Linked DNA regions of Stegostoma tigrinum. The protein of the gene in region 1 interacts with the protein of each later gene in a pairwise test. Links are inferred from orthologs where the notes say so. Each region holds a gene or a part of one and is shown in the gene's direction. Other genes may lie near its edges.

Region 1 (7,855 bases):
TCCCCCCCCCTTCCTCTCCCCCCCCCTTCCTCTCCCCCCCCCTTCCTCTCCCCCCCCCTTCCTCTCCCCCCCCCTTCCTCTCCCCCCCCCTTCCTCTCCCCCCCCCTTCCTCTCCCCCCCCCTTCCTCTCCCCCCCCCTTCCTCTCCCCCCCCCTTCCTCTCCCCCCCCCTTCCTCTCCCCCCCCCTTCCTCTCCCCCCCCCTTCCTCTCCCCCCCCCTTCCTCTCCCCCCCCCTTCCTCTCCCCCCCCCTTCCTCTCCCCCCCCCTTCCTCTCCCCCCCCCTTCCTCTCCCCCCCCCCTCCTCTCCCCCCCCCCCTTCCTCTCCCCCCCCCCTTCCTCTCCCCCCCCCCTTCCTCTCCCCCCCCCCTTCCTCTCCCCCCCCCCTTCCTCTCCCCCCCCCCTTCCTCTCCCCCCCCCCTTCCTCTCCCCCCCCCCTTCCTCTCCCCCCCCCCTTCCTCTCCCCCCCCCCTTCCTCTCCCCCCCCCCTTCCTCTCCCCCCCCCCTTCCTCTCCCCCCCCCCTTCCTCTCCCCCCCCCCTTCCTCTCCCCCCCCCCTTCCTCTCCCCCCCCCCTTCCCCTCTCCTCCCCCCCCCTTCCCCTCTCCTCCCCCCCCCCTTCCCCTCTCCTCCCCCCCCCCTTCCCCTCTCCTCCCCCCCCCCTTCCCCTCTCCTCCCCCCCCCCTTCCCCTCTCCTCCCCCCCCCCTTCCCCTCTCCTCCCCCCCCCCTTCCCCTCTCCTCCCCCCCCCCTTCCCCTCTCCTCCCCCCCCCCTTCCCCTCTCCTCCCCCCCCCCTTCCCCTCTCCTCCCCCCCCCCTTCCCCTCTCGTATTTGAATGTTCTATTTTCCACCCAACTCTCCATACCCATTCCCAACTCAATGACTCTGTCTGTCTTTAAATTGTCTTTTCAGGAGCCAGAAAAGAAAATGAAAGAGCAACAGGATGAAGAGGAGAGAAAGAAGAGAGAGGAGGAAGAGAAGGATAAGGAGGATGATGCTGAGGGGGATGAGGAGGATGAGGATGAAGAGAAGGAAGAAAAAGAGGAAGATGAGGAGGAGGAGGAAGAAGAAACAGAAACCGTTCAAAAGGATGAGTTATAAAGATTGTAATAAATGCTGAGAATGAATGGCAGCAGGGCAATGTGCAGAAAAGTTACACATAGCAACTGGGACCCCTTATTGGAATGTTTTTTGTTTATGAACAAATTGGCGGGGGGGGGGGGAAATGTCAGGCTTTTAGGGTTGGGGCAGTAAGTGAACATGAGAATATATCCACTGAGGAAGGGACTGCTGAAATTTCTAAACCTTCCTTATTAAAAATTTGGTAACTAGAAGTCAGCTTCATAATGGTGGGTAGGGAAGGATCAAACCTGAGTGGAACTTGGGCTGTTGTGTCTTGCATCTTGAACATGCCACATTTAATAATCCTAGAAATCATCTGAGCACGTTTATGCTGTTTTTCAACTGAGGTGTTAGCTTTTTTAAATTGGTCAACCCTTCAGTTTAAAATTTGGTAGAAGCCCAAATCTATTTGCTTGCTGCCAGTAATTTCCAAATTTTGGGTTCCAGTGCTGTTAGGTTAGCTTGTTTTGTGTCTTTGTCTAGGTAAACATGATACAACTGAACAGTGTACTTGAGCATGTTTGAGATTCTACAGTTGATGCCAGTTAACTTCCAGGCTGTACTGCTTTATAAGATCTCTCTTTTTGGTTTTTGAGAACCACTCAGTTCCCAGGTGTAACTAAAATCTGATGGGAATTAACATTGGGGATGGTATGATTTAAATTGACCAATTTCACTTCCATTTGAGGTGGGGGGGGGGGTGCGGGGTGCCCCTGTTTAACGGGCTTCAACTGTAGGTGTAATTGTATAGCTGCCTTTTCCATTCAGAACAATTGGGTAGAGCAGGACTGCACTGGTTATATAAATGGATGTTTATCGGCTCTTTCCAAATCCAGGGTCAACTTTGCCTTTGTATTTTGCATTCTTTATATGGGGGTTTCATGAAAAGGAGGGGGAAAAATTTCTTTATTTCCAACAACATTCAAAAGGAGACTTAAATTCTGTACAGACCAAGTCTAAAGTTGTCATTTTAATCTGTTATTTAAATGTTGTAAATTGGTGATTTAATTGATGACTGTTTGGGGAAAACTTGTTCTGTGTGCAATACAGAAGTATGTTTGATCACATTTCTACAATAAATACCAATGGAAGTGAAATAATTGTTTGTTCTTTCCTTTTCAGTTTGGAATAGTTCTTAGTCCTTTGAATTTCATGGACTTTTGGTATTGGGGGTGGTAAAGTGTGGATTCATTGGTTAATAAAGCTGGAATTGGACAAGCCATTTGGGTTGCCTGGCTGTAGCCAGTGAGATTAATGCAAGAATCAGTGTTGGATTTTAGCTAATTGTAATATCAATTAATACAGAGGGTCAGAGGATAATCCTAACAAAGACTGTTATAATATGCAGAAAATTAAATTGAGGAGAAACAAACTGCAAAGGGCTAAAGTCATCAAATGGGCATGGCAGATGTTAATTATGATAAGTTATCCAGTTTGGATTTGTGCATAAAGAAATTTTTTTCAAGGGTCAAGATCCTGAAAGCTTGCCGTTCAGAGGGACCTGGGTACCATTTTATTCATCAGAAATAGCATGCATGTAAAACAAATTGGCGACCTTTTTATTACAAAGCCTGATGCTGAATGGTCTAGTCCTGCTATGATGCTTTCCAACTGCTATGTTCTTGACTACAGAATAAGGTAATTGAACTCCATGAAGAGCGCTTTTGTCAGATGGCAATTCTTTCCATGTTGGTGGTTTTCTCTCCAATTGATTCTATTAGATATCCCTGTGAGTAACCAATTTCCACACCTCCTGAACTGACCTCTTAACTCATTAAAACAGAGTTTTGCAGCATAGAATGAATTTGTCTATCACCTCTTAATAGATAATTAACCCCTGCAATCCCACCATTTCTATTTTGGATAAATATTGAAAATTTTACTTCCATAATAAGCCACTAGATTCTGCTTCCACTTTCTGGTTGAGCATTTTTCAAGTTGTAATTTTTTTTTAAATTAAAAGCAAGCTCCTAAATTTAGAAGTAAGGATTATGTCCCCTAGTTATGTACTAGACTTGCACTTTGTTTGCTTTTCAAACTATGGAAAATGCATGAACTTCACTTTTTTTTTGGGAGTGAAGAGTGTAATTACTGGAAGTAGGTTTTGTACAAGACTTCAGACTGCACAAATAGCAGTCATTTGCTCCAGAAAAACCATTTGAGCCAGGAGAGATTTTTTTTTAACAGCAATCTTTTTTTCAAAGAAAAACCCTACAGGCTGAGGTGCTGGAGCATGGTTGCAGTGTTGTCAATCCCAGTTCAAGCCCTCTATGTAAAGCAGATCTCCTATACATGCAGAAATCATTGCTTTTGATCAGCTATGTCACATTTCAGTACTTGTCTATCACTTGACTTGATTTAAAAGGTAATTCTTTATTTTGACAATATTTCCTGAAGACACCTGTCTTTCATTTTGAGTTCACAATATTACAGGAGTCTCAAAAGTGAGAGTTGGACTCCCAAGTAGGTTTGTAAGTTGGAATTTAGGTTAAGCGCTATGACAGACTGTCCCCTTACTCTGTCCTTCTCCCCTGCCACATTCTTGACAGACGGACTGAAACAGTTTTGAGGCTTCAAAATGGAGCCACGGTGGGGATGAATTTGGGCAACATTTTCTAACACTTATGCAGTTTGCATTCAGATAATGCTGTCCTGCTCAGTAATCCAAAGAAAATTTTGTCGCAAGTCCCTGACGAAGTTTTCTACGCTTAAAGTCAGAAGTCATACAACACCCAGTTACAATCCAACAGGTCTATTTGAAATCACCAGTATTTGGAGCACTGATCCTTCATCAGGTGATTGCATTTGGAAGGTTTGTTACTTCAGATAAACCTGGTCCCATATGACTTCTGACATGTTTCAGTGAGTGGTGCTCATCAGAGCTATTAACCTGATTTTTTTTTTAAATGTGATGCAGTGGAGTGCTTTGAGCTGCTTAGAATGTGTTGAGGTGGTCCTACAGTGCATTTTGTTCATAATTCCAACCTTAGAAAGCTGCCATGATGGAGACATGGATAGTAGGAACTGCTGATGCTGGAGAATCTGAGACAACATGGATGAAGCTGGATGAACACAGCAGGCCAAGCAGCATCAGAGGAGCAGGAAAGTTGACATTTTGGGTCAAGGCCACCTGAAATGTCAACTTTCCTGCCCCTGTGATGCTGCTTGGCCTGTTGTGTTCATCCAGCTTCATATGGTGTTATCCATGACCAGAGATATATCCCAGATATTTTCTAATCAATATTACATTTGGAAAATGTGGGACTTGCACCTGGCCTGCTAACCTAGCAGCAGGAACTCTGATGCAAGATATGGTCACTGATGCATTTTATTAAATTTTAAATTCTGCCAGCTGCCTTGATTGTTGTCTTGATTTTCTTCTTAAAAAATATTTTTGAACCAATTTATAATCCCTGCAGATACAGCAACAGGAGAGTGAACCTTTTCCCCACACCCCCCCCCCCCCCCCCAAAACCCTATACCTGCCTCTGCAGTGCCTGGACTTCTGGATGATTTGTTTGTGACATTAGTACGCTGCTACTGCCTATCCTCAATATAAATGCAAGTTTCTTATTTCCATTATCGTTTGCACATTGAAACTTAATTGCACAGTTGTCAGGCATTGAGACAAGTAACGAGTCCGAGTTGGCACATCTTCCCTCCGACTTTAGTGGAAGGCCACACACCACGTGAGATAGCCCGGTCGCCATGGCAATGACGTTACGCCAGCGTAGCGTTTGCGTAAAGATGGCGGTGGTGGCTTGAAGCAGTGGGGCCTTGGTGGAATCTTCGAGCAAACCGCAGGTGGCGGAGGAGCGGGATTACTTGATTTTTTTTTTGTTTTAATCGCCTTTTTTAAAAAAACCCACCCGGCGGCGGTTCCACTTCCCTTCCACCTCCCCGGCGAGGGGAGGTAAGGGGGAAGGAGACCGTCACCATGTTCATCACCGTGAAAACGCTGCAGCAGCAAACGTTCAGAATCGAGATCGACCCCGAGCAGACGGTGAGGGAGGGAAGGGGGTTCAACACTGTACTCATTTACCCCCCCACCTCACAACCACCCTAACATCTCTCACATGCCTCCAGTCAACGACCCTCACCTCCCCATCAACAGCCCTCTCAAACCCTCACAATCCCTCGCCCAACTCCATTTACTTCAATACAAGAGGCCTGACAGGTAAGGGAGATGAACCCAGGGCTTGGTTGGGACCGGCATGTCATAGCCGCTGCAGAAACATGGTTCAAAGGTAAACAGGACTAGCAGCTTCATGTTCCAGGCTGTAGATGTTATCAGAAGGAGAAGTGTGGTTCTTTTGGATAGGGAGTTAATTGCTGGGAGATCGTCCAATGAGGTTATAGTGGGGAAGAATTTAAAATGAGAAAGGGATGATTATCTTGTTGGGATTGTTAATAGCGCCCCCGCCCCATAGTCAGTGGGAAGTTGAGAAGCAAATATGCACAGAGATCTCAGATAATCTATAAGCAAATAGTGTTGTATTGGTTAGGGATTTTAACTATCCAAACACAGACTGGGACTGTCGTAGTATTAAGGGTTTGGATGGAACAAATTTGTTAAGTGTGTACAAAAAAACTTTCTTATTCACCATGGATGTATCTATTAGAGAAGGAGCAATACTTGACCTTCAGTTGGGAAATAAGGGAGAGCAGGTGATAGAGGTGTCAGTGGGAGAGCACTTTGGGGCAAGTGGTCTCAATTCTGCTGGTTTTAAAATAGTTATGGAAAAGGATGGAACTGATTTTACAATTTAAATTTGTAAATCGGATTGAGGCCAATTTGGAAGGTATTACACAGGAACTTCCAAAAGTTGATTGGGGAAAGCTATTCACAGGTAAAGTGAAAACCAAAGAACTATGGATGCTGTAAATCAGGAACGAAAACAACGTTGCTGGAAAAGCTCAGCAGATCTGGCAGCAGTTCTGAGGAGGGACCACTGTCCCCAGATGCTGCTAGATCTGCTGTGTTTTTCCGGGAACTTTGTTTTCCTTCCAGGTAAAGTGAATTTGTTTGGGAAGTGGGAGGCCTTTTAAGCATGAAATAAAAGTATTGACTATGAATGACTAGTATTTTACTTCAGTACTTAATGTGAAGAAGGAAATGGAACTTGGAAATAAATGGAGGTGGCTTGGAAAAGGTTGATATGACAGAAATGACTATTATGAGGGGGCATAGTTTTAAGGTGATTGGAGGAAGGTACAGGGGAGATGTCATATGTGGTGGGCATGTGGAATGCACTTCTGGCAGTGGTAGTGGAGTCAGATACTTCAGAGACTTTTAAGTGACTCTTGGATAGGAACATGGAGGATAGCAAAATGTAGGGTTTGCAGGGTAGGTTGATCTTAGTGGGATAATAGGTCAGCACAACATCGTGGGCCAAAGGGCCTGTACTGTTCTCTGTTTTAGGAGGAAGTGCTGGAGATCTTAAAATACATAAATGTAGATAAATCCCCACGACCTGGTCAGCTGTTTCCCAGAACATTGTGGGAAGCTGGAATAAAATTGGTGGTCACCTTTGCTGAGATATTTGTATCATCAGTAGTTATGGGTGATCACGGAGGTTGGCTAATGTGGTGCTGTTATTTAAGAAAGGCCGTAAGCAAAGCCAGGGAACTAGAGACCAGTGAGCTTTGCATCAGTGGTAGGTAAGGTGCTGGAGGGGATTCTGAGGGACAGGATTTACATATATTTGGAAAGGCAGTGTGTGATTAGGGATAGTCAGCATAGCTTTATGTGTCTTACTAATTAGATTGAGTATTTTGAATAGGCGACAGACAAGGTTGATGCGGGCAAAGCAGTAGATGTCTGTGTGGACTTCACCAAAGTGTGCGACAAGGTTCTGCATGGTGAAGTTGTTAGTAACGTTGGATCACTCGGGATCCAGGGGGAGCTAGCCAATGGGATACAAAATTGACTTTAAAGTAGGAGACAGGGTGGTGGTTGAATATTGCTTTTTGGACTGGAGGCGAGTGACCGGTGGTGTGCTGCAGGGATCAGTGCTGATTCCTTGCTTTTTGTCATTTAATTAAATGACTTGGATTTGAATATAGGAGGTATGGTTAGTAAGTTTGTTGATGACACCAAAATAGGTGATGTAGCGAACATGAAGAAGATTATCTCAGAGTACAACAGGTCCGTGATCGGATATGCCATTGGGTCAAGAAATGGCAGATTAAGTTTATTTAAGATAAATGTGACATGTTGCATTTTGGTAAGGCAAACCAGAGCAGGACTTACACAGTTATAGTAGGGCCCTGAGGAGTGTTGCCCAATAAAGAAACCTAGGGGTGCAGGTGCATAGTTCCTTGAAAGTGCAGGTAGACTGGGTGATGAAGAAGCATTTGTCACCCTTGCCTTCATTAGTCATAACATTGAATATAGAGTTGGGATGTCATGTTGCAGCTGTACAGGATGTTGGTGAGGCCACGTTTGGAATATTGCATGCAATTCTGGTTGTCCTTCTATAGGATGGATGTTATTAAACTTGAGAGCGTGCAGAAAAGATTTACGAGGATGTTGTCAGGACTGGAGAGTTTGAGCTATAAGGAGAGACTGAATACATTGGGGCTTCTTTTCTCCTGGAGTGTTGGAGACTGAGCTTACAGAGGTTTATAAGATCATGAGCGTCATGGATTAGGGAGTCCAAAGCTAGACGACACAATTTTAAGGTGAGAGGGAAATGCTTTAAAAAGGACCTGCGATGTAACTTTTTCACACACGGG
Region 2 (7,716 bases), on another chromosome or scaffold:
TATTGTGCAAGGCAAGTCTCTATACTGTGACTCATCTAAAGAAATAACACCACTCTCTCCTTTCAAGATTCGGTTCCATGTGAGTTGAGTACCGACTCCAAGTGGAGACACTAAGCCAATCCCAGTAATGACAACTCGCCTTCGACGTTTTGGATGGTTGGTACTTGCGAAACAACGTGCATTCAATTCTGATCTTGTATTCTTGAGATTCAACAGTTGATACCAGAAAACCTTTGTTAGCAGCTTCTTCCTTTGCAGCAACATATCTTTTAGCTTTTATCCACAACGTTGGCAAGAAAATGCACTTGGTTTTACTGTGAACAGTAAAGATGCACAGGAAAATCATTAAAAAATCTGCAAGTAGTAAGCAAATAGTTGTGAAAAACCAAATTTCAAATCTTTGCAATGTAAGTTTTCTTGAAGACAGAATGCATGCTTAGGATAATAATGTTTAATTACAAACTGTGATAATTTCTTTATTCATTAATGGGGTGAGGATGTTGCTTGCTAGACAGCATTTATTGTCCATCCCTAATTGCCCAGAGGGTAGCTCAAAGTCAAATACATTACTGTGGGTCTGGAGTCACATGTAGGGCAGACCAGGTAAGGATGGCAGTTTCCTTCCCTAAAGAACATTAGTGAAGCAGATACGTTTTCCTGACAATCGGCAATAGATTCATGGTCATCATTAGATTCTTAATTCCAGATATTTTTATTGAATTCAAATTCCACCATCTACCAGGGTGGGATTTGAACCCAGGTCCCCAGAACATTATCCAGGTCTCTTGATTAACAGTCCAGTGATAATACAACTAGGCCATTGCCTCCCCTAAAATTTATTCCATTTTCAACTGTGATTGAACAGTTCATAAGAGATCAAGTTCAACTAAATATAACATTGAAATAAAGACACTCTGGAAAGTTATATTGCTTCTGATTTTTGTGCACTTATTCTGTTGTGTTTATTTTTCATGCAACTCTTTTTTCCCCCCAAAAAATGCACACATCACCATTCCTGTCAAAAATTAGGGAGCACTCAAACTCTGTTTCTCTACTCCCTCAACACTGCCTCAAAACAAGTTTTTAATGGGGGTGGGACATGGGGAACAGACTGCTGATTAACTTACCTTTCAATTTAACTTTGATAATATGAGGAACACACCCTAATCTGTATTCAGTATCTTGTCCTAACAGGATCATATTGCATAACAGATCATGGCGTTGTGTTGTGAGATAACAAGGTATAGAGCTGGAAGAACACAGCAGGGCAGGCAGCATCAGAGGAGTAGAAAAGCTGACGTTTTGGCTCTGGACCCTTCTTCACAATCTACAGATTTCTGATCCAGACACACAAACCAATTGTCATGTATAAATTTCACCATAACAACTGGGGGAACTTGAATGAAACTAATAAACATCTAGAATTGAAAGGTGATCTCAGCGAAGATGATGATGAAACTACCTATTGGCATGAAAACCTATCTGGTTCTCTAATGCCATAAGGGTAAGGAAATCTTCCATCTTCACCTGCTTTGGCTTACATGTGACTCCAGAACTACAGCAATGTGGGTGACTCTTAATTGCCTTGTGAAATAATCAAGTAAGCCACTCATTTCAAGGGCAATGAGGGATAGACAATAAATACTGGCCTTGCAAGTGACACCCACATTCCATGAAAGAATAAGGAAAAAAAAATACTATAAGACCATCTTGGAAGGCATGACAACCCTCAGCCTTTCTTTGTCCAACAAAAATCATCTCTTTATTCCACTGCTCATCTGCACTCTTTTCAATCAAATGCAAGCAGCATATGGGTTTCAAACATCACTGTGCCAATTACTCCTCACCTCATTTCAAATCCTTATTATGGTGGTTTTTCTTTCATCTCCTCTCTGCCTTTTATGTTTAGTTTTTTTCATGAAATCGACATCCTAATTCTTCCATCTTCAACTGCCCCCTCCTGTTTGCAAATGTCATTCAATGTTCAGATACTATCAACACTTTCCCATTTTTTAAATGTTTAACGTTGTTAAACATGCCATTAGCTCAAATGTGAATTCCTGCAGTGTGGCTAAAGTTAACAACAGCATAATGACCAATATCATAAATGGCCTTAAATTGATGTGACTGTGGAGGAAATGGGTCATTCCTGGATTTTTCACATTGTTCAGTACTATTGACTAAGGCATTCTCGTCTATCACCGATCCTCGGTTCTAGAAGGCTGTCAGCATTGGGCAATTCAAAGTTTAAATGAATCATGTAAATGCACAAATAAGTGACTGTATTTCAAAATCATATTTTAGATAAGTACAGATGTAATCATTGGGAAATTTGACTGGGGCATAGACATAACCCAGTTCTCATTTTAAAGTCAAACACTATGTCTTTAGATTAGATTAGATTCCCTACGGTGTGGAAACGAGTTTATATTATTCATGATTGTTACGACAAATCTCAAAAGCAGAGTCTTTGCTGCAGTGATCGTACCACGATCCCACTACTGGTTGAGAGGTATAATTTAAATATGATGCATTTACAAAGATAACTCTCACTAATAAAAAAATATAGTAATCCATAATGACGATAGTTTTATCAAGATAGGAAATATACATAAATAAAACACTTTTTAATACATTATAGGTTTAGATATTACACAGAATAGCTATTTAGAGTTGACCCTAATTCAGTTAAATAAAATGTAACGAATATTTGAATTTATTCATTAAAACTTGTCCTTGCAGCAAGTTGTCTATTTTGTAGCTCCAGGCTTACATTGAGAAAGTGATCTGTTATTTCACCTTTCAAATGAGCTTCTTGTATGCAAAATTACAATGAAGGAATTGTTACCTACGCTATCAATTTGTAACCAAAATGTAAAACATTCTTAAACATGCTCAAATCAATTTGACTACACAATAAGGTGGCCATTGCTGAAGGCCAAGAATATTGGACACCAATCCCCAAGGGCGTACTGGCCTAGGAGTGGGGAGAAGACATTACGCATGAGATATCACCATCATGAGCCTCTCAAATAGGGTGACCAGATGTTGGTGTGTGTCCTGACAGTTTCCTTAAATTGTTCAGATGTCCCAGCCTTAAACTTTTCCATGTACTGGAAGCATACGTTTGAATACATGGCTAAAAGTACACCCAGGGGGGTGCTTTTCCCTGCAGTCACCACAGTTTATGAGACTCTTTGCCCCAGATAGTTCAGTGTGATACTTCACATGTCCCCCCAACCCACATGTTTGTTCTGTGTGCCCTGTCAGATCAGTGTCACACTTTGTGCCCCCACTCCACCGAAGTTCGAGTGACAGTGAGCGTACACACTCAAGACAGAGGCTGCTCATTGCGGACACATGCACACACACACGCCCCTCCTCATTCAACAAACATCTATTTACACAACAAGCCAGGACAGGATGAAAGACAAGCCACTTCCAAACCTCATTTTCACATGAATTCCACCAAGGTCAGTTTGGAATGTACACCCCCCCAAGGCTAACTCAACATTAGAAAGGGCATAGGTTGAAGGTGAGTGAGGAAAAGATTTAAAAGGGATTAAGGGGCAAGTTTTTCATGCTGAGGATGACGTGTGCATGGAATGAGCTGTCAGAAGAAATTTTGGAGGCAGCTACAATTACACCATTTAAAAGGCATTTGGATGGGTACATGAGGAGGAAGGTTTAGAGAGATATGGGCCAAATGCAGGCAAATGGGTCAAGATTAATTTAGGATATCTGGTCAGAATGGATGAATTGGATCCAGAACAAGTCCTAAAGTCCTCTGTCTGCTTCCGTTCTTCATTGATCAAGATTTGGAGCCTTGCCTATCTCTCTCTAGCTCTATTTCTGGAGTTAAATGAAAAGGTAGAGCAAAAATCTTATTAAACTTCTAGATAGCTTTTAAATGATTATTTTATGAATTACTCATTTTTAATCAATTTATTATTTTGCTTAGCAAGTTATTTTATATACCCAAAACAGATCTCAGAAGGGTCTCGACCCGAAACGTCAGCTTTCCGGCTCCTCTGACGCTGCTTGGCCTGCTGTGTTCATCCAGGTCTACTGATTCTCCAGCATCTGCAGTTCCTACTATCTCAGGTAGGTGTTGCCGGGATCCTTATTGAAGGGGAACGAGAAGATCACAAGAAGTCTTAAGTATTTTTTGGAAGACCAGCAAAAGGTTAGTTCCAAGTATTGGAAAGGCTCAGCATGTCAGCAGTTTTCCGTGTGGAGAGAAAAAAGCGTTCTGTGACTTGTCGTCAAAACTAGTTAGGATCGTGATTTTTTTTAACAATATAAGAAACTTGGAAACAGAAGTACTTGGGCCCTCAGATAACAAAGTGTGGAGCTGGATGAACACAGCAGGCCAAGCAGCATCTCAGGAGCACAAGAGCAGACGTTTCGGGCCTAGACCCTTCAATTCCCCGAAAGATGGATCAGCACTACTACTTTCAGTTTCTAAAATAAACAAGACTGAGGAGGAGCCGTCCTTTGGACGAAACATAAGTAAACACAAAATAAAATGTAAGAAAACACGGGAAATATTTTTAGAGAAGGACTCGTGAACAAAGAGACAGAAGCAACTTTTCAGATTCGTCTACGCTCACTCACCAACTCCCTGAGGCGCAGGCGCAACTCAGCCATGGCCGTGCCACGACGTCACGACGTGGGCGGAGCAGGAGGTTGTCCGCCCAAAACCAAAGAGCATCAACCCGAAAGGGGCAAGAGCGGCGCTAATGCAGCGTCATCACTTCCTGAACGGAGGTTATTTCAGTTTCTTTCCTCAGACAGCCGAGCGGTTGTCGGTATTCCGGTTTTCTTTTTAAATTGGAGATTGTCTGCCGTCTGAATACACAGGAGCAGCTGTTCGTCGAGGAAGGGGAGTTAAAGCGCCCTCTCCTGTGGGCTGCAGTCCATAGCCTGTCCACCATGGTGTCGGTGTCGGTGGCTGTGAGCGAGCTGAGCCAGAATCCCGAGCACATCTTCCTGGACGCTTCAGAGCTGCTGCTGAAATATGCCGACAACATCCTGAGGTAAGGGCTAGGTCCCGGTTTGCGGGGGAGGGTGTTGAAAATGGTAGCGCTCAGCCGCCGGCTCCGTTCAGGTCGCCCTCAGAGAGTGAAGTTGGATTCAAGGTTAACATACGTTATTTTCTCCCTATCCCAATGTGTTGTTTCGATGGGTCGATTCACTCCCCGAGTTACCACCTTTCTCATAGGTTGAAGGAAAGGTTTCGATTGTTGTGTTCTGGGCGAGAGGGGTGTACGTGGGAAGTTTGGCTGGGCTTCGACACACTGTTATAGTATCAGAGGCTGATTCTTTTGCAGCAGTAATCAGAACTCAGAAAGCACTCTGAGGCAATAAAATGTGAGGCTGGATGAACACAGCAGGCCCAGCAGCATCTCAGGAGCACAAAAGCTGACGTTTCGGGCCTGGACCCTTCATCAGAGAGTCCAGGCCCGAAATGTCAGCTTTTGTGCTCCTGAGATGCTGCTGGGCCTGCTGTGTTCATCCAGCCTCACATTTTATTGCCTTGGATTCTCCAGCATCTGCAGTTCCCATTATCTCAGAAAGCACTCTGTCAGGCCGTGCCCACTGGGAGAACACCCAGAGGGTTTTAAGAAATCTCTCATCTGTCAGGAATCGGTCTAAACCTCCTACTGGCCACAGCCAGAATTGCTTGGAGACCCCGATATCTTGCCTCGCATTCTTGCGTGGTGTCCAAAACCCCAATGTGGAAATTCTTCTTTAGTCTTTCCAGGATTGTGACGTTCTTCCTAAGGTGTTTGGTTTTCCCCGGAATAATTTGCAGTGCTGCAGATGCGGTCTAATTGTAGACTTGTAAAGGTTGAATGTAACGTCCTTATTTTGTTGTCACTATTCATTAAGCCAAGTGTTCATGCTTTCTTATTTACATCATTAACCTTCCCTGCCACTGTGTGTGAACGTGCAGATCCCACTTCTCTGCACCCTTTAGAATGGTATAATTTACATCATACTGCCTCTCCAGATCATTTATGCTAAACTGCATTCTACTGATAGTAAGTTGTGTGTGCTCATTTCATCAATGTCTTGCTAAAGTGTGGCTCTTCTGTTTACTGCACATTGTGTTGCCATGTATATATCAATTGCAAACATCAAAATTGTATGTTATAGGTAGGTCTAGGCTATTAATGCAAACTGCAAAAATACAGTAATCCTAATACTGACCCTTAAGTGGATGAGTGGGTGGGAACCCTGTTGAATGCTATCTTCAGTCAAAAGTAACTTGGCCGTTGCCTGCTATCTCCCAGCCAATTTCATTACCATATTACCATTGTCCCCTTTTCATATCATGTAGTTATGTTTAAGTCTATTAGGTTATTCTTTATCAAATATCTTTTGAAAGTTCATATTACACATCAATTGCACCAGCTTCTTCAATCTTCTTTTAGATCATCAAGTAACTCAATCTAGATTAGTTAGCTCTGATTTTGTCTTGAAAAAGTGGGAATTTGTCTCAATTAGCTTTTGTACCACAGATGCAGTCCTTCCCCAAATGTTTTTGAACCAAGAGGCGACAATGCCATAACATGTAAACCTATTGCCAGTACTTCAATGTCCAAAGAAGAATTGAAGATTGTGATCAGAGCATCTGCTGTCTACCTAACTTGGCATCACATTTCTATTTTTCCTTTTCTAATCCAGCATCTTGACTGCCTCCTCGCTGCAACTTTAATGTTATCCCTTTTCAGAATGTCTAATTTCTGTTTCATCCTTAACCAATCTCAATCTTTATATTGCTTCATATTGTGAAAATATTTATTTTGCACTTTTATCATTTGGGAATTTGAATTTCAAAAATAGAGGCAAATGGAATTGCGTTTCAGTTTTGTTTTGGAGAGGTCAGAGTTAGTGGCAGAAATGACCTAAATAGAATTTCTAAGGAAGCATGTGGCTTAGTAAGTGCCAAGCCAGATACCGGTGGTGTTACTTAATGAGGTGTTTACGTTGCTAAGTTTATGACATGCAGAAAAATAAATGACCAGGAATCACTGGTGCTTAGGTTTGAGTTCAGTTCAGGAGTATCAGATTTCAGTTTCATCTCAGCAGAATGATTTTTATTTTATGAAGTCTCCAAGCTGCCAGAGTTTGAGTAACAGTTTCAAGCTGTTGAATCTGGAGGGAAGCCCTGAGGCCATCGGAACTGGAGACAGTAATTAAGAAATTAGTTAAGATGGGAGTAATACTAAACTATGAGCATCTGTAAATAATAGCTGGGAAAGTTTGAAACTTTGTTTTGCTGTTGATATTAAAATTTTTCTAAATTGTTGGATAGCTTTTTTAGTTTAATAAACGTGAGTTCTTGTAGTAAAAGAACCATAACAGCTTTACGTGAATATGTTCAATGCCTGACTGCAGTGGTAAGCTACTGTAAAAATAAACTTTTTGATCTTTCAAGCCAAATTTCGTATTTAGATCTGACATATCCAGTATAGCTATCAGCCGGGATCGTGGCAATATGTTGATCTAGTATTTTTGGATTTAATTTGTTAATTGCTAACATTTTCATATATTTTGCCCTTTTTTCCCCCCCTCTTATACTGGCAATATCCATAAATTTCCATAGAATCCTTACATGGGGAAACAGGCAATTTGGCTCAACGGGGTCACACAGTCTCTGAAGAACATCTCAGCTAGACCCATCCCATCCCTATAATCCTGCACTTT
Region 3 (7,556 bases), on another chromosome or scaffold:
GGCAATTAATGCATGGGAAGGAGTAGGTAACTGTCAATATTGTAATGTAATTTAATATAATATATTGTAAGATTCCAAAGACAGATGATAAAGATATCTTGTAAATATCATGAGATTGTGAGAGAACCTAGGGATCTCCATAGGGGTGTCCATCATTGATTGTGTGTTTATAGGATTAGATATATAGATTAGGGGGATGTAGCTAACAATGACATCAATGTTGCACGTCACCATTGTAACATGGTACATATAAAATGCTGCACTTGGCTGAGAGAGGGACAGTGCTCTAGAGAAGGGCCTCTTCCATGCTGCATTGGTGAGGTTCTCTGAATAGAGGTTGATTTCTGCTGCTGAACACAGGACTCAATATTCTTCTCTGACATCATTCCTAACACTTGAATTGACAGTAAAGTCATTTTTAGATCTTCCTTTGTCTCTCAACAGTCCCCGAAGGTTCCTTGAACATCTGGACTTCTTTTTCTAAGAAACTGTGTCCCCTCTTTGAATAATATGGTGATGACATAAAACCATACTGTCCAGTAAATTCTTCAAGTATTCTGGATTTGTTCATTACTTCTTAAATGATTGTTATAGCTGCCAAACATTTCACCTTTAAGTTAAAACAGAGCTTAGAAATAATAGTCTGCTATTAAGAGAGACTCTTCTTGAGTGTGCATGTCAATGTCTGAGTGGTGTTTCAGTAGCTATAATTTTCATTTATTACTGTGTTTTCTTTACTTCTGGTACACAATGTATGTGTATACTCTTTCAATGTTTTTGCAGATAACTATCCAATACACAGCTGATCTGACTCAAAACTCATACTTCAGCACTTCCATGAGATAACAAGGTGTAGAGCTGGATGAACACAGCAGACCAGGTAGCATCAGAGAAGCAGGAAAGCTGATGTTCTGGGCCTAGACCCTTCTTCAGAAATCATTTCTGAAGAACGGTCTAGGCCCGAAATGTCAGCCTTCCTGCTTCTCTGATGCTGTTTGGCCTGCTGTGTTCATCCAGTTCTACACCTTGTTATCTCAGATTCTCCAGCATCTGCAGTTCCTACTATCTCTTCAGCACTTCCATTTGGCTTTCATGTATATTCTCAAGAAATTCATTCTGTGTCATTTTGAATATAACGGTTCTGGGTCTGACCAGTAGAACACCATCTTCTCATGAGATGTCACCTCTTCTTGAACAAAACTGCAAAGGCAGTATCACTCAAGGACAAAGTACCTGGAGTTCTTGTTTTTGTTAGTCTCCTCTCTAATCAATATCTAGGTTTGTGGTTCTTACATTTACTAGGTGATAGAGCTTCGCGCCTAGATTTTTTTCTTGTGTCTGTTATATGGTGACAAATAAAACAGAACATGTGCTGACAGTTATTCTCTTCCTGGCTTGTATTTCAGAGGGAAAACATAATTTCTCACCCACATAAGTAACCTCTATAACCTTGCATGCGTGGTAGACTAGTATTTCTTGGTGATTTATTGTAATGGATGGTAACCCTCTCCTCCAGCGAGTTATTCATCAATAAACATCACAAATAGATTACCTGTTCTTTGCATTCCAGAGATAGCTACGCTTCAGAAATACTTAATTGGCTTTTATGTGCTTTCAGAAATCCAGTGATCATAAAATAACTGCAAAATAAAGATCGGTCTTCCTTTCATTGTCACATTGCTAGTATAGGACCTTGCTGCTTGAGAGTTAGCTGCTGCATTTCCACATTGTATCAGTGACTACCCTTCAGAAATACCTAATTAGCTGTAAAGTGTTTTCTAATGTGAAAGGGGGCACATAAATGCAAGTCTTTGATGATTCAATTTCTTCAAAATAACATCTTTTATATCCAACTGAGTGAGATAAAAAGGCCTCTGCTTAATGTTTTGTTTGAGAGACAACACCACCAATGTTGCAGCACACCCACAGTACTGAAGTGACAAGTCAGTTTGTGTCATGAGATAATGGGAACTGCAGATGCTGGAGAATCCAAGATAACAAAGTGAGGAGCTGGATGAACACAGCAGGCCAAGCAGCATCTTAGGAGCACAAAAGCTGACGTTTCGGGCCTAGACCTTTCATCATAAAAATAGGCCCGAAACGTCAACTTTTGCGCTCCTAAGAAGTTGCTTGGCCTGCTGCGTTTATCCAGCCCCACACTTTGTTATCTCAGATTGTGTCATGAAGTGTTAACTGGTAGCTAAACTGAAAAACTCTAAATCTGAGATGATCTACAACTGAATCAAAGGAAATTGTGAGAATCTATTATAGTGGATGCAGTAACAGGGCATTAAGAATAAAATGGTAGGACTGGGCACTGTAAAAATGGATTTTTGAAAAGGAAATAATGTTTGACAAACCTGTTAATGTTTTTGAGGATATAGCCAGCAAAATAGATAAATAGGAAATGGTGGATGTGGTATAATTAAATTTTAATAAGGTTCCACACAGATGGTAAGAAGCAGAGCTCATGGGATTGGGGGTGATTACAGTGGCATGGAATAAGAATTAGTTCATGGCAGAGAGCACAGTGGCGTAAATGGATAAGTTTCAGGCTGTCAGGCTGTGACTAGTTGGATGCTGCAAGGATCAGTGTTTCAGTCATAGCCATGTACAATCGAACTCAATGATTTGGAAGCAGGTAGCAAATTTAATAATTCCAAGATTGCAAATGAGAACAAAATTGTCAAGGTGGATGCAAGGAGGCTTCAAGAGATTTTGACAGGCTAAGTGAATAAACAAATAAAAAGGTAGTCAGAACACGCTGTGCAGAAAAATGAAGTTACCACTTTTAAAAACCAAAGTATGGTGTACCTCTTAATTGGTGATAGGCTGGAAAGTGTTGGACTTCAAAGGGACTTAGGTGTTATTATTTAAGTATCAGTGAAAGTTAATATGCAAGAACAACAAGCAATTAAAAAAGCAAATTGTACACTGATCTTCATTAAAAAATATATTTAGTAGTCTTTTATAGAGCCTGGTGAGGCTACACCAAGAGCATTGTGTGTAGCATTAGTCTCCAATTACCTGTAGAAAGACGCATTTACCGTAGAGGAATTGCACTAAAGGTTCATCAAACTAATTCCTAGGCTGGAGGGACTGCTCTATGAAGAAAGATGGAATGGACTGGGCCTCTATTATCAGGACATTAAAAGAATGAGAAGTAATCTCATTGAAATGTGCAAAAATCTTACAAAGCTGACAAAGTAAATACTAGAAGGTTGTTGTTCCTGGCTGGGGTGCCTAGAATTAGTGGATACAAACTTTGAATAAGATAAGGATATTTAGGGCTGAGAAAGATGAGAAATGTATTTGCTTGGAGGGTACAGAATCTTTGAAATTTTCTGCTTCAGATGGCTATCAATTGTTCAGTATATTCAAGATTAAGTTTGTTACATATTAAAGACATTGAGGGATATGAGGATAGGTCAAACAAATGGTGGTTGAAGTAGATCAGCCATCATCTAGTTGAATGTTGGAGTCACCTTGAGGGGCTGAATGGCCCACTCTTGCTCCCAATTAATATATATGGCAGACAGCTACAGTTGATAATGGGCTGGCCATTTAATTGATCCGAATAGGTGACGTAATCGAAAAATACAAGACTCTAAAGCAGGCAATGACATGGTGGAGACAGATTGTGTGAAATTGTCGCAATTGGTTGGCAGAGGTAAAATCTCATGGAAAAAAGGCGAAGAATTGGGCTCCATGGTCTCACTCCAAACACCCATCTGCTGAATTCCACAGGCTTGGCAACAAATGCAATTGCTTTGACATCTGAAGGCATAGCACCAGCCGACTGCTTCTCCTATTGACATCTCTGCAGCTATATGGGTTATGCGTTGCAAAATACCAAATGATATAAGGCAGTGGCAAGAGTAAACAAGTCAGCAGTCTCCCAAACATTGTTTGAGCAATGTATGGCAAATGGGTCCTGGGAAACCAATGTATAGGATGTGGGACAAAATGCAAAATACAGGATGGTTGGTCACCCTGTAACAGAACTCTTGGATTTTGTCAACAGCCCAAAGGATTCATTTCCAGTCACTGTTCAGATGCATTATGACACAGGTCTGAAACAGATGGGATGTGAACCCTGGCCTCCTGGTTCTGAGGTAACAGTATTAACAGAACACGACAAGAGTTCTAAGGAATCAGCTCCATTGTAAATATGAATATCAACCAACATTTAAAGGGGAGGGGGCAGTGTGTATTCCATTCCGTACTGTCTGACTCTATCTTGTTAATGCAATTTCAAGAATAGCCATCAGAGCAAATGAAAAGACCCTATCTCTTTCACAGCCAAGAACGTCTACAAACATTTTTGATCTTTGCCAAGCTTTCAATACGGCTGAAAATTTATGACTACCAGATCCAAAAAACAAGCACCAAATCTGTCTTTGGAGATGGGACATTAGCGGACACATCTCCCTGCACTTTACGACAGTGGAGGTGTAGGTAGGAGCTGTTTAATCCTACGCCAGCTGGGGCGCTCGCACCCTGGCCATGATTGGCCGTCTCAGGCGCATGCGGCATTTCTGTCAGTTCCGGTTCTATTGGGAAGAGGTTCCTGGATGTTACCGAGCTGCAAGATGTCGGTCGGAGCCTGAGGGAGAAACCGGCCGGGAGCGGGTTACCGAGAGGACGGGGACGGCACGGGGGAGGAAGAAGAGGCGGAGGCGGTGGCTCCGCACAGCGGCCGGGACATGTATAACATCGAGCTGGCGGAGCTGGTGTGGGGGAAACGCCCGAACAGCGCCCTGTCTGATTCCGTCTTCCGCAGATGGACCCAAGGTAGGGGCCAGCCCCACCCTGCACCTCTTCTCCCCCCACCTCCACCCCCACCCTGCACCTCTTCTCCCCCCACCACCCCGCACCTCTTCTCCCCCACCCCGCACCTCTTTTTCCCCCCCCACCCCGCACCTCTTTTTCCCCCCCCACCCCGCACCTCTTTTTTCCCCCCCACCCCGCACCTCTTTTTCCCCCCCCACCCCGCACCTCTTTTTCCCCCCCCACCCCGCACCTCTTTCCCCCCCCCCCACCCCGCACCTCTTTCTCCCCCCCCCCACCCCGCACCTCTTTCTCCCCCCCCCACCTCTTTCTCCCACTCCCCACCCCGCACCTCTTTCTCCCACTCCCCACCCCGCACCTCTTTCTCCCCCCCCCCACCTCTTTCTCCCACTCCCCACCCCGCACCTCTTTCTCCCACTCCCCACCCCGCACCTCTTTCTCCCATTCCCCACCCCGCACCTCTTTCTCCCACTCCCCACCCCGCACCTCTTTCTCCCACTCCCCACCCCGCACCTCTTTCTCCCACTCCCCACCCCGCACCTCTTTCTCCCACTCCCCACCCCGCACCTCTTTCTCCCACTCCCCACCCCGCACCTCTTTCTCCCACTCCCCACCCCGCACCTCTTTCTCCCACTCCCCACCCCGCACCTCTTTCTCCCACTCCCCACCCCGCACCTCTTTCTCCCACTCCCCACCCCGCACCTCTTTCTCCCACTCCCCACCCCGCACCTCTTTCTCCCACTCCCCACCCCGCAGCTCTTTCTCCCACTCCCCACCCCGCAGCTCTTTCTCCCACTCCCCACCCCGCACCTCTCGGCCCCCCTCCCACTCCCCACCCCGCACCTCTCGGCCCCCCTCCCACTCCCCACCCCGCACCTCTCGGCCCCCCTCCCACTCCCCACCCCGCACCTCTCGGCCCCCCTCCCACTCCCCACCCCGCACCTCTCGGCCCCCCTCCCACTCCCCACCCCGCACCTCTCGGCCCCCCTCCCACTCCCCACCCCGCACCTCTCGGCCCCCCTCCCACTCCCCACCCCGCACCTCTCGGCCCCCCTCCCACTCCCCACCCCGCACCTCTCGGCCCCCCTCCCACTCCCCACCCCGCACCTCTCGGCCCCCCTCCCACTCCCCACCCCGCACCTCTCGGCCCCCCTCCCACTCCCCACCCCGCACCTCTCGGCCCCCCTCCCACTCCCCACCCCGCACCTCTCGGCCCCCCTCCCACTCCCCACCCCGCACCTCTCGGCCCCCCTCCCACTCCCCACCCCGCACCTCTCGGCCCCCCTCCCACTCCCCACCCCGCACCTCTCGGCCCCCCTCCCACTCCCCACCCCGCACCTCTCGGCCCCCCTCCCACTCCCCACCCCGCACCTCTCGGCCCCCCTCCCACTCCCCACCCCGCACCTCTCGGCCCCCCTCCCACTCCCCACCCCGCACCTCTCGGCCCCCCTCCCACTCCCCACCCCGCACCTCTCGGCCCCCCTCCCACTCCCCACCCCGCACCTCTCGGCCCCCCTCCCACTCCCCACCCCGCACCTCTCGGCCCCCCTCCCACTCCCCACCCCGCACCTCTCGGCCCCCCTCCCACTCCCCACCCCGCACCTCTCGGCCCCCCTCCCACTCCCCACCCCGCACCTCTCGGCCCCCCTCCCACTCCCCACCCCGCACCTCTCGGCCCCCCTCCCACTCCCCACCCCGCACCTCTCGGCCCCCCTCCCACTCCCCACCCCGCACCTCTCGGCCCCCCTCCCACTCCCCACCCCGCACCTCTCGGCCCCCCTCCCACTCCCCACCCCGCACCTCTCGGCCCCCCTCCCACTCCCCACCCCGCACCTCTCGGCCCCCCTCCCACTCCCCACCCCGCACCTCTCGGCCCCCCTCCCACTCCCCACCCCGCACCTCTCGGCCCCCCTCCCACTCCCCACCCCGCACCTCTCGGCCCCCCTCCCACTCCCCACCCCGCACCTCTCGGCCCCCCTCCCACTCCCCACCCCGCACCTCTCGGCCCCCCTCCCACTCCCCACCCCCCACCTCTCGGGCCCCCCCCCCCCCCCCACTCCCCACCCCGCACCTCTCGGGGCCCCCCCACTCCCCACCCCGCACCTCTCGGGGCCCCCCACTCCCCACCCCGCACCTCTCGGGCCCCCCCCACTCCCCACCCCGCACCTCTCGGGGCCCCCCCCCCCCCCCACTCCCCACCCCGCACCTCTCGGGGCCCCCCCCCCCCCCCACTCCCCACCCCGCACCTCTCGGCCCCCCTCCCACTCCCCACCCCCCACCTCTCGGGCCCCCCCCCCCCCCCCACTCCCCACCCCGCACCTCTCGGGGCCCCCCCACTCCCCACCCCGCACCTCTCGGGGCCCCCCACTCCCCACCCCGCACCTCTCGGGCCCCCCCCACTCCCCACCCCGCACCTCTCGGGCCCCCCCCACTCCCCACCCCGCACCTCTCGGGGCCCCCCCCCCCCCCACTCCCCACCCCGCACCTCTCGGGGCCCCCCCCCCCCCCACTCCCCACCCCGCACCTCTCGGGGCCCCCCCCCCCCCCCCACTCCCCACCCCGCACCTCTCGGGGCCCCCCCCCCCTCCCACTCCCCACCCCGCACCTCTCGGCCCCCCACCCCGCACCTCTCGGGCCCCCCCCCCCCCCCCACTCCCCACCTCTCGGCCCCCCACCCCGCACCTCTCGGGGCCCCCCCCCCCCCCACTCCCCACCCCGCACCTCTCGGCCCCCCACCCCGCACCTCTCGGGCCCCCCCCCCCCCC

Evidence for each region. The genes of interacting proteins can lie anywhere in the genome.
Region 2: the proteins of UV excision repair protein RAD23 homolog A-like (region 1) and ngly1 interact in binary tests that used the Homo sapiens proteins (3 or more experiments, as listed by UniProt). The two-hybrid records come from large-scale screens. The link is inferred for Stegostoma tigrinum from reciprocal best matches to the Homo sapiens genes RAD23A and NGLY1.
Region 3: the proteins of UV excision repair protein RAD23 homolog A-like (region 1) and mindy3 interact in binary tests that used the Homo sapiens proteins (3 or more experiments, as listed by UniProt). The two-hybrid records come from large-scale screens. The link is inferred for Stegostoma tigrinum from reciprocal best matches to the Homo sapiens genes RAD23A and MINDY3.

Annotation. Positions count from the first base shown.
Region 1 is NC_081388.1:16,541,169-16,549,023, reverse strand, and holds the start of UV excision repair protein RAD23 homolog A-like, read left to right. Parts: upstream 1-4,849; 5' UTR 4,850-5,054; coding exon 5,055-5,120; intron 5,121-7,855. Other genes in the region: calreticulin-like, read left to right, coding at 908-1,096. UniProt on the Homo sapiens protein: Multiubiquitin chain receptor involved in modulation of proteasomal degradation. Binds to 'Lys-48'-linked polyubiquitin chains in a length-dependent manner and with a lower affinity to 'Lys-63'-linked polyubiquitin chains.
Region 2 is NC_081355.1:63,429,879-63,437,594, forward strand, and holds the start of ngly1 (peptide-N(4)-(N-acetyl-beta-glucosaminyl)asparagine amidase), read left to right. Parts: upstream 1-4,699; 5' UTR 4,700-4,935; coding exon 4,936-5,039; intron 5,040-7,716. Other genes in the region: oxsm (3-oxoacyl-[acyl-carrier-protein] synthase, mitochondrial), read right to left, coding at 1-264. UniProt on the Homo sapiens protein: Specifically deglycosylates the denatured form of N-linked glycoproteins in the cytoplasm and assists their proteasome-mediated degradation. Cleaves the beta-aspartyl-glucosamine (GlcNAc) of the glycan and the amide side chain of Asn, converting Asn to Asp.
Region 3 is NC_081355.1:111,965,308-111,972,863, forward strand, and holds the start of mindy3 (ubiquitin carboxyl-terminal hydrolase MINDY-3), read left to right. Parts: upstream 1-4,539; 5' UTR 4,540-4,706; coding exon 4,707-4,794; intron 4,795-7,556. UniProt on the Homo sapiens protein: Hydrolase that can remove 'Lys-48'-linked conjugated ubiquitin from proteins.